3 linked regions of the Drosophila melanogaster genome follow. The protein of the gene in region 1 interacts with the protein of each later gene in a biochemical or structural test. Each region holds a gene or a part of one and is shown on either strand. Other genes may lie near its edges.

Region 1 (3,756 bases):
AGCTAAGCAGAAAATTTTTCTTCATTCCAACTGGCAAGGATAATTCGCTCGATTGTTTAATAAGAGGAGTAGAGCGAATAATCGTACATTGAAAGAGTGGTGTAATTCGTGAAACATGTTTAAAATGCAAAATCTGTCTGATTCAACAACTATTATCATGTATGCTTTATTCATAGGAACTAATTTGGTTCCTGCATATGACAACACTCAATAGCCGACTAGATACAAATTTGACGGGGCAAACATTTGTTCAGTTAAGCTACTAAGCCCATATAATAGCCCTATAATGAACTCTCGACATGTTCGTGTTCCGGGCAAATGTTTTTAAGTAATTCTTTTAGTTATATTTTATGAAAAACAATTAGCTGCGGGCCTTTAAATACAACTGCATAAAACAAAACAAAGGCGCAAATATATGTAAAAATCGTTTTAATTTGCCAATGATTGTGTGTGTGTGGCCGTGGGTGGTTCAATTATTTAACTACATAAACAATAAAAATATTCGCAATTGTGTATGTGGGCGGGGCCGCATTAAAAAGTGAATGTGTCTACTGCATATATGCAGCCATTGTTTTACAAGCTTTTGTGGGGCTTTTTCGGCATGGGGGCTGGTATTGGATGGAAATTGGGCTGGGGCTGAGGTTGGAATTGGGTTTCGGGCTGGCACTGGGGTGGTTCCAGATCCAAAACTGTCACTGCCAGCACTACGTAAGTAATTTCGCGCATATGTTACGCCCAGGGGGCGGAGTGGGAGCCGTGGGACCATCATCAGGTTCGGCTTAAAGCCGGAGTTCAGCATATTCATGGCTGCTGCACACGACAAATTGAATTTTATGCAAAAGCTTTAGTTTTTTCTACGATTTTTCCTCTTCTCGAAACCGAACTCCACCCTTCAAAGTCGCGAATGTCTTTGCAGTTCGCGGCGACATCTATGTCCTGTTCGTCTGCATTATAATTTGGTCCTTTGTTTTCCTTCCAGCCCGCAATATCCTCGGTTATCCCAGTGCTTTGCACTTTGCCATGGTATATCCGTCCAAGATGCGGTTTTCTCTGGCTGCTGCTGCTGTCCCACTTTCGTTCGTATCCGCTTTGTTTTTGCCCCTCTTTTTTGGCCAGCACTTATTTTTAGCATTGTACAGGCGCCTTTGGTTCGACGTTAATGAGGAATTATGTTATCGCACTGTTAAGCCGCCATAAACGGTGCTATGATTGCATCCTTTCCCTCCCACTTACCCTTTGCCACGAAATTGACTAGGCTTACGGGATAATTTAGGTCTCACTCAAGGTTTATGCATTCACAGACTACAATTTACATAAAATCCAAATGAGTAATTTGCCTAACTGCTCAATGCATAAAACATGCCATAACAATGGAGCAGTTTACCCGTGTAATTGCATTTGTTTCGTTGACAGATTTTGAAGAGTTAACATAACATGTTGGCAGGCATTTGTGCTGCTGTGAAAGTGAACTCTCACTAACAGCATCAGCTTAATTTCTCTTCCGCTGTTAGCGCATATTGCGTATACGCCACGGAGCCAAACTCTTCGGCTCACTTCGGGCCCGATTGACTTGGCCTGTTAAGGTGTCGTCAGTTGGCTTAGTTTACTTTTAGCCGGTGCCAAGCGTGGTCGCTTCTCGCTTCACAGCCGCCGAACGCAGATTAAACATCCTCCACGGAGAGCCCCAAATGGTTAATATTGAAAGAGGATCTTGCCAAAAAATATACAGTGATCGAACCTGTGTCGTAAACAAAATACGCATTAAGTGATTTTAATCAAATTGAAGCCTAAAGATAAATTAAAACGAAAACAAGCGATAAGTACGGAAATCAAAACAGTTTTGTGAACTTTAACTAAAGAAGGTCTAAACAAATTATAAGAATTTTTAAAAATAAACCAAATTATCATATTTTGGTCATATAATCACAGAGATCGAGACTAAGGGTTATAATTCTAATTAAAGGAAACATTAAAAAATAATAAAATCAGCAATGAAATTGAAAAATTAAAATACATTTGTTTTTCCGATCTACTATGACTGAAAGAATAAATCTGTACAATCCGTTGAACTAAATTGCTGTTACAAAACAGTTGAAGAAGACCTACCACAAAAACTGTTTTAAGATAACCCCATAAACAATAACGAATTAATGACCCAGTTGCGAAGCTGAACGGCAATCAAAATAAACTAAATTACAAGAGATGGGAATTTCCCGCTTTCCACTCCGTCGAGCATGGGCCAAAAGTCTGAGTGTTTGAACAGCAGATGGCTCCGGCCAAAAGTAAGACGAAGACCGAGACGGACAACAGTCAAAAGTCGAGGATGCGGAATGCGAATAGAAATAGGAATTGTGTTAAATCATTTACACTTCCGCTGCTGTTTTGTTTGTGCAATCAATTTGATATTATTTGTGTTATCCAAGCTCTGGCTCAAGGTCCAACCCAACTCGTTCCCATCGTTATCCTTATGGAGGGAATACGGCCCAGTCGTCCGGAACATTACATTTGTTTAACATTTGAGTTAACGCTTCATTGGGCCACCTACTCCTCCGCCATTACTTATGTATGCCTGGCATTTCTCAAACTCCGACTGCCACTCGTAGTCCGACTTCAGGCCCATCTGTTGGCAAAGACAAAACAGCATTTAAATCATTATTCTTGGCCAGACTCAGCCAACCAGCCAGCCAGCCAGCCAGTCAGCCCGACCTACCTACACCTACACCTTGGCTAGCCATCGAGAATCCTTTCAATTCATCCTGCGCGTGTCCTGCATCCGTAAGTGGACTCGGTGGGCGTGTTCGCCCGCCCGGACGCGATGGCCATATGTACTCCTTTTACGCCCCACTAAACACCCGCATAAATAAATTTCGTTAATGCCAAATAGTCTGGGGCGTAAAAGAAAGAAAGATGAGGTAACACAAGCAGCCGCAGTAGCTGGGAAACCGAGCAAACGACGGCAACTGAGCTTGGTCAAATGGAATGCCCCAGCTCAGGCTTACACAACATGTGTTCGGATTCCGAAAACCAAATTCGCCAGGATATCGCTGAAAACTGCCATGGTTACTTTTTCATGATACCCAGATGGGTCAACTCTTGTAAAGATTAGATTTTATGAGTTCCACTCAAAGGTTTCAAGCATATTTATAAAGTAACTTTTTGGTTTTATTTAGAAATTATTTTTCATGGATTATATTTAAATTTTCTCAGCTTTCCTCTCTATATGTAAAAATCATTTATTTATGTATTTTATGCCACACGGCGAACAGATTTGAGTCAGATTTGCAAATGCTAGGATGAAATGGGAACACCTCGTTAGGGCAACTAATGCCAAGAGCACCCACATTACCCAAGCCATCCGAAAACTTACACAAACATATCAAAAACAGGACGCGGCGCAAAATGCCGGCCATAAACTGGGACACGGGCCAGAGGAATCAGGGAAAGCATAAGAGCCGGTGGGGCCATAGTTGCCAGAGAATATGGGAATACAAGACCTAAAATGTAGGATGAGACCCAGCTCGACGGGCACATTGTGGGAATATTTAAAATTGGCCACGTGTTGTGTTGTCTTGCCTCGCTCAGCTTCCCCTACGACATTTTCAGCTTTTAGTTATTTTAGATTTCCCCGACAAGCTTACCGTGCAAGTGCAATTTGAAAATATGTTAAACCTGCGATTTTGTGCGCCGAGAAAACGCCAGCAACGCGAAGCACAAGAAGATATTGCTGCAGTTCGTGTCAAGGCGTATACGCGATAT
Region 2 (3,756 bases), about 17 Mb from region 1:
GTGAAAACCCAGCTGAATGCGATGAGATTATTAAACGTCCCATCCGCTTTTCCCTCTTTGCAGTAACGAAGAGCTAACGACATAAACATCAACCGGCAGCCAATTAATGACAGCGAGCTACAGCGTTTATCGTTTCACTTACAAGCCAATACAGCGGAAAAACCCCTACATTTTCCACCCATACCATCGCCCTGTTAGCCACCTGTGAGTGTGGCCCAAAGGGCAGACAATGAAAATCAACTAAGCAATTGGCAACTAAACGAGACACCAGGATCCAGCTCTCCAAGCCGCTGCAGCAACAAAATGGGCCAAGAAAGCGCAGCTGGCTACTGTTTCCAATTAGTTGGCCATGACTGTGGCAAAAGTGTTGGGAAAACGGAGAGGGTGAGAGGAGTGCCGAGGCACACATGCACTGGCTGCAAAATGAAAATGAGAAACTGAAGAAAACAGAGAAATGGAAACTGAATTATTGCTCAGGACGAAACAGAAGTGGGGGGAAAATAAGGGGCCACGGCGCTTGACTCTAACATAAATGTAATGCTTTTATTAGTTATCGATACCAACACATACATACCCCTGGGTGTAAGCTAGTACACTGAGCAAAATGTCCAAGTTTTTACAAAATACAATTTTTTTTATAGGAATAATGATGAACGCTATTATTAAAAGAATATTTTCAAATAAAATGAATGTAATATTTAAACTGAAATACCTTGCATATGAGATAATAAATGAAATGCCTTTTTTAGTAAAAAATTTTAAATAAAGGTTTTCATATAAATTTGTATACTTTTACATTGTTTTTTCAAAGTTCCTTCATGTGTAAGAGCAAGAAAGATATGAAAAGAGTATAAGCGTGTCCCGCGAGGGGTGGTGATCTAAGGGGGCGGGATTGCGACTCCGGGGAAGACAGCGCTGGTATCCGGCGCCAAAGATTTACCAAACATCCGCTGGAAAATACCCCACTACGATTGCGACTGTGACTCCGGCAGCTGTTGTTGTTAGCCAAGTTCGTTGTTGGCAAACGCGATTGCAGCAAATCAGAAAATACTCGCACAAGTGCGAATGTGAATATTGATGCCACGGCGTAGGTATGTTTGACTTATAATATATGTATAGACATACATATGTGTGTGTGTATGGAGCTGAATGTGTGTTTAGTTGGCATTGCAAAACACAAACACAAAACTTCCATTCTGGTCGTGCTCCGCGAGTCGACTTTAGCCAGCCACTTGGCGCTACTTCGCCCACTTCAGCGCCACTCCACCCACTCAGCGCGCCCATCCACACACACACACAGAGGCACACCCACACACACACACACACACACACCCAGACATGGCCACAGAGCGCTCCTTGCTCGCTTACTTGCTACTTCCGCTTCCGAATCCGTTTTGTGTGCTGTCGCCGCAGAAATTTAACGAAGTCACACGTCGCCAATGCCAGTTCCTCTCGCTCTCTCGCCAAAAAAGCTCTGCGAGCCAGCATCCGAAGCATCCGCGTCATCGTGCCGCTCGTCGGCATCCTTCGTGCGTCCAGCCGTTTCGGCTCCAGATGGCAGCATCCTTTTTCATGCTGGCTCAGTTGCGAATTCAGTTTCGGAGCGTTCGGTGGTGGAGAGCAGCTGCATTTGTGCATTTCGCATCGAACATTCATCGTGATCCCAAGCGCACGAAGTTGTTGTTTTGTTTTGGTTTTTGTCGCCAAATTTCGCGGGATTTTTTCGTGAACGTGTGTGTGCGCGTGCATTTATTTCGCACACTGTCGACGGGGCAATACCAGGATCTGTCGCCTGTCTTCGCCTCAGACTTCTCCTCCGGATCCTGCGGAGCGGAGCGTACGTATTTGTGGCTTCAACTCCGTGTGTCGTATGTGCCCGTGTATGCCTCTGTGTGTCTGTGTGTGTGGCGTACCGGCATACCGTCTTTGTTGTTGGCCACCATTGTAATTGCAGTCAGTGTGGCACTGGCAACGCGGCGTATACTTGACATCTTCGCCGCCAAATTGTGCGATTTCTTCGACTCGTTCAGCTCTCGCGCTGGCTCCTTGAATGCGGCTCCTTGTGACATTGGCGTGAAGACGTGAAGAGCCCTCAAAATCCGCTATTCCACTGTGTTCGCAATCCATTTGCCTGCTGCCCTGGACGGGCAAACAAATTTTTGCAATTCAATTTCTATTGTGCATTGCCGATGCGAAATGTGCGCATCGTTTGCTGTCAATGCCAAGTATTCCGCATAAAAATTGAAAATTGCATGCAAATTAAATAAATAGAGTTCCGGTGAGGAGCTGAGCTGAGCTGCGAGTACCAGCTGAGATAGACACTCAAGAACCCATCCTATTCTACATACTCATCGCACATACGTACATATGCGAGTATCCTTGCGAAAATGACAGTTGTGAGTTGTGGCTCAGATTTGGATTCGCATGCGGGGCGCAATCAAAGCAAACGTCATTAGCACTCGCGACATCGCCTTCGATTGACAGCGGGAGTTGGAGCAGCGGCAGGAGCAGAAGGAGGTGCCAGATCCTGCGGCAGGATTCAGCAGCCAGGAGCAGGCACGAACAACTTTACATTTGCATAACTTCGGTGCAGCTCCAGCGTTCAGATTCCGATTCACAGGTACGAGAAAAACTCCTTACCAAAGTCGATTTCCGTTTCAGCAACCCCTTCAGACCGCCCGCCCGCACCGCATCGCTTTGCAACTTTGCTATCATTTCTATTTTCCTGTTTCTGTTTTTCATACCCGATATCTGTATCCCCACCAACATTTTGCGCCCAGCGCCCAGAAAGGGTAAAATCGGAGAATATTCAGCTCGTGCCATGGAGTTGGGCTGTGGCAAATCCATTGTGGTGCACTCCCGAGGTGGCTTGGATTCGCGAGCTCAGGGCCGTGGATTTACCTTTTGGGTGGTCCTGGGAGGTTCTGGCTGGTCCTGATGGCGATTAAGGAACAAACTCAGTTCGCTTAGCAGCATTTAAGCCCTCTCAGTTTTTTAGGTCAGCTCAGTCGCTCTTGATTTAATGATCCAATAAGGAGCTTCTAGGATGTTCAAATTGAAACCTGTTGGAGTGAATCAAGTTTATCCGGGGCAGCAATTAGAATGATATCCTAATGTCATTTCGAATGGTCGGGAAATGCTTTTAACATTTTTTTAAGCAATTGCAAAATGTAATATTCATAAGGTACTTGGAGTACTAATTAAGTACCAATTAATTGAAAATTGCAAAATAAAAATGGCACCAATGTTTAAATCCAACTATATCTTATAACAATTTTAGTTAGGCAAAAGAAGTTTGCTTTAAAAATTAAAATTTAACGATATTTTAAGACCTGAAGACAAGAACTTTCGCACAGCTGAAAAACTCAGTTTAATGACACTGCCAAATAAAACTACTAGTCATTTCCAGAAAGTCTTGTTAGCATTTGATGTAAATTGCAAGGAATAGTTTTAATTCTTGACCCGATTTCGGAAAAAATCGTTGGTTGCTTTACTAGTTTGGTAACTCTGTAGTAGTAGTATTTTTTCAATAATTTTCTATAATTTATTTTACACACTATCACTAAAATGAGGGCACCTGCGCGTCCAGAGCTCGTGACAATAGCATCTCCGATTTGTTTTAGCTTTGCCAGCTCTGCTCTTTGGTTTAGTATCAACTTTACGGCTGTTTCAGCTCCGGATTTCTTGCCCACTCCACTTCGGCTCCATCATGGCCACGTTATCCAACTTTTAGTTATGGCTTTCGCTTTTCGCATA
Region 3 (3,756 bases), on another chromosome or scaffold:
TAATGACCCCACAACACAAGAAGTTAGGCACATTCTAAGTTCTCACCCAAAAAAAATCACCTTACTCTGGGTTCCCAGTCATCAAGGTATTCATGGGAATGAACTTGCTGACAAAGCCGCCCAAGAGATGAGGCTTACACCATCAATCCTGTTCACTCCGTTTAACTCCAAGGACCTAAAAAGTCGAATCAAGTTATACCTCAAAGAAAGGAAACTCTCCGAATGGGCACTCTTCATGCACAGGTACCAGTCTATCAATCCGAATTGCATCATGTTCAAGCCACCAACGAACGTACATAAACGGGAATGCGCGACCTTTATCCGTCTACGCATCGGGCACACCCAATCCACACATCAACACTTACTGACGAGATCGGCGCGACCAACATGCCAACTATGCGGGGACGAGCTCACCGTTGACCATATTCTCAACGCCTGCAGTCAATTGCACTCAATTAGATCTCACTTATTTGGTACACATAGTCTCTCGAATTGTTTAAGTATCCCATCCTGTGAAAATATCTCAAAAATTTACAAATTTGTCCAAAAAGCTAAGTTTATTATATAAAGCAATTAACCCATAAGTCTCGAGTCGAAGGCCCCCGTAGCTAGTACTCATTAAATTTAATTAGGTTTAGTATTGTATACTATATTTAATTTTGTTAAATAAATAAATAAAATAAGATGATGTGCTCAAAACAAGTTTTGTTACCTAACCTAGCTAAGAAACAATGCAATCTGGAGTCGTTGACAAGTATGTATGTAACAGAAGCAGAAGGAAGTGTATAAAAACTAGTGACTAGTCTTACAAGTTATCTTCAAACGTTATAGTTACAGTTGTCGTTAATGTCTAGCTAAAATGTTCCTATTTTTTCAACAACAAAAACTGCCTTAATCGAACTATTGCAACCTATGTAAAGTAAATTAAGTAAAAGTTAAGTCTATTGAGACTTCTGCTTGCTTCCACCTTTCCATCTCCCTTGCACAGTCCTTAGGTGATTAATAAATATCCGATAGTCGCATTCATTAAAATCTTTTTTTGGAAATTTAATTAATATGTTTTAAAAAGTGATCAAGCAAAATAAAGATATATTTTCTAACGTTCGATTTATTTTCAATATGCTTTCGTCTTTCTTTGACTTTTCCTAATTTTTTGCACAAGGTAAGGCTTAAAATATCGTCAAAAGTCGGCTGATATAAATTCTATATGTATTCCAAAACAGCTAACAATGTTATATCCCATTTGAAAAATGATGAAAGCGAACAACCGAAAAACTAGCTCTTGGTAAAACATACAGCCTTTTATATTTCAGCAATTGGTTTCTGTATAACTTTAACTCGTTTTTCTTTTCTTTTAGAATGTTTTTCAACCAATAATAATCAACTGGGCAAAACTAACCACTTATGCAGATCTCTGCGTTTTAAGTTAAGGCAATTGCTCTAGTAAATTTACCAGCTTCTAAATGTTGCTGGCAACATGTTGCCAGAGGACAAGCACTGACGCCTTCGTCCGCCACACGAGCTCGTCCTTCGGAAGCATTTCGGCTGGCCTCGGGATGGCAGGCACGGGACACGGGACTCCACAGTGCCAGGACATCGGAAGTCGGGAAATTGGGAAATCGGGATGGCCGTGCTGCCGAAGGACGAGCACATTGCGCTGGGTCGGCCCAATGCGAAACGCGCTTGGTGCGACAGGTTCAGTGCTCGGGCAACTTCCTAGCGCGTCGGTTCAGTTCAGTCCAGTGGATTCGAGACACGAAAGGACTCAGTTTCAAACTAAAAATTCCAAAGTTTCGAAAACGGGTTTCGAGTGGCGCGAAACAACAACGATACAATGATACAATTACTCTAGCTGAAAGTCGAGAGAAGAGTTTTTGACAAGTGTTAGTTGATTATTTTCAAGTTTTTTTTTAGTGTTGGCCAGTGCTTTGGACTAGTTTCGAAGCTTTGCTTGTTTTTTCGAACAAGGTAATTCTAAGACCCAAAAATTCAAAAGTTTTTCGCGAAGCATACGATGTGAGCTGTGACTGCGTATTTAGAAATTACTACACTAGTGAGGTGAAGCCAATCCCTCGTTTAGTCCTTTACTCCATTGCCCGTCGATCGCTGCCTAAATCATTTCACATACGCTTGTTCACTCATTTGTCAATTGCATTATCGGTGGTATGTTAGCATTCCCTTTCTTTTCTCAGCCTTTCAACCAATTGTTACACCAATCGAGTTGTTTTCTTGCGAATTCTCTCGACTGTTCATGAGTGAATTCCTTTTCAGTTCATTGAATTTCTATGTCCTTTCCGTTTTCTAACATTAACTTTCTTTGTTTGCATTTATGTGAGTCACTCGTCACTCGTTGGAATCCTTTATTCTCGTTTCTTGTTTTCAGTAAATAAAACAGTTGATTTGCCAAGTTGCAAATTAACTTTTGCCAGTTTTTTTTCCCAAAAACAACTATCTTTATACCTTCGTGTGGGGAAAATGTAGTCACCTTTTATGGTCAAAATCATATCGTACATTTTGTCGCATACTAACGATTTGATAAATTGTTTAACATAATTATAAAACTGTCAGCTTGTGTTCTTTTCGTTTTTAATTGTTTGTAATTATATATTTTATATAATATGATAGCATACATTACACATTGCAAAAATTAAGTAAGGTTTTCAATATCTTTTTTAGTGGTTTGTAAGACGATCCGAATTCAATTTTATTTTAAATCCGGTATCCATGTATTGCTTTGAACCCTTTTTGTGTTTCTGATTTCCTTCAAGAACTTTCACCCACCTGAACTTTAAAACCCCATTCAATCTCTCGCTCATCCCTCGCCATCCGCCACCAGTTTGGCACATTCTTGAGGTACCTTTTCTGGAAGACTCCTCCGAAACTTTTTGCCATCGAACAAAAGGCGCCAAAATGAGACTGCAGCATCCAACTAGCAGGCCAAGTTTTTAGTTGGCAATGATTTATGTTTTATTAATATTAAAAGTGATTTATTAGCCATGAAATTTGTGAGCCAACTTGGTCGTTGGCCCTTATTCGACCAGGTGAAGGGAGTGCTGGCTGCATGCGCGATTTTTTAATTACAGATGGAGTGGGACAGGGAGTACTGTCCAGCTGCAGGCTCCATTATCCTTAAGCGCGGACCTGGCCGCTCATTATCCCGACGTCCGAACTTAAGCTAAACTGCTGCACAGCGAGATTAAAATTGTAAATGACAGCCAGCGTGACAGGACAAGGAAGGAGCAGGCATCTGCTCGTCCTTTAATGTCCTGCGCCGTCCAGCCACGCCCCTCTGCGCCCCTCTGCGACCCTGTTCGCAACCATCCGCTCCCCACCCACCAGCCGTCGCATTTTGTCGTGTTTTTAATGAAAATTAATTAATTAAATAACGTTTTTACTCATTCGCATCGCCTTGCCCAGCAATTGTCTTCCCTTGTGCGCAGGTGTGCGTGTGAGGATGCATTTTATATTAAATAATGAAGTGTGTAAAATGTATGCAGTGGCACACAAAAAGAGCAAAGAGGCAAATGAAAGGGCTTTATGCGGCAAATGTAAATTTGGACCTTTTTGGGCACAGGAAATCTCAAGCTTCAAAGTGCACAGAGAAAATTGTAAACGCAATTTTCCAAAATCTTTATTAATGGTTTTTTTTTGGGAAACTTTACTTTGGGAACGTAATTAATTTTATTATTGGTCTCGAATAATCAAAATTTATGTGCAACATTTTGTCATTATATTTGGGAACCCTTTTTGCAAAAT

What was found.
Region 2: the proteins of dpr15 (region 1) and DIP-gamma form a complex in vitro, tested with the Drosophila melanogaster proteins (one study listed by BioGRID).
Region 3: the proteins of dpr15 (region 1) and DIP-beta form a complex in vitro, tested with the Drosophila melanogaster proteins (one study listed by BioGRID).

What each region holds. Positions count from the first base shown.
Region 1 is NT_033777.3:12,156,469-12,160,224, reverse strand, and holds the start of dpr15 (defective proboscis extension response 15), read left to right. Parts: upstream 1-1,629; 5' UTR 1,630-1,691; intron 1,692-3,603; 5' UTR 3,604-3,756.
Region 2 is NT_033777.3:28,968,195-28,971,950, reverse strand, and holds the start of DIP-gamma (Dpr-interacting protein gamma), read left to right. Parts: upstream 1-1,578; 5' UTR 1,579-2,620; intron 2,621-3,756.
Region 3 is NC_004354.4:21,455,678-21,459,433, reverse strand, and holds the start of DIP-beta (Dpr-interacting protein beta), read left to right. Parts: upstream 1-1,695; 5' UTR 1,696-1,883; exon of another isoform or gene 1,884-1,968; intron 1,969-3,756.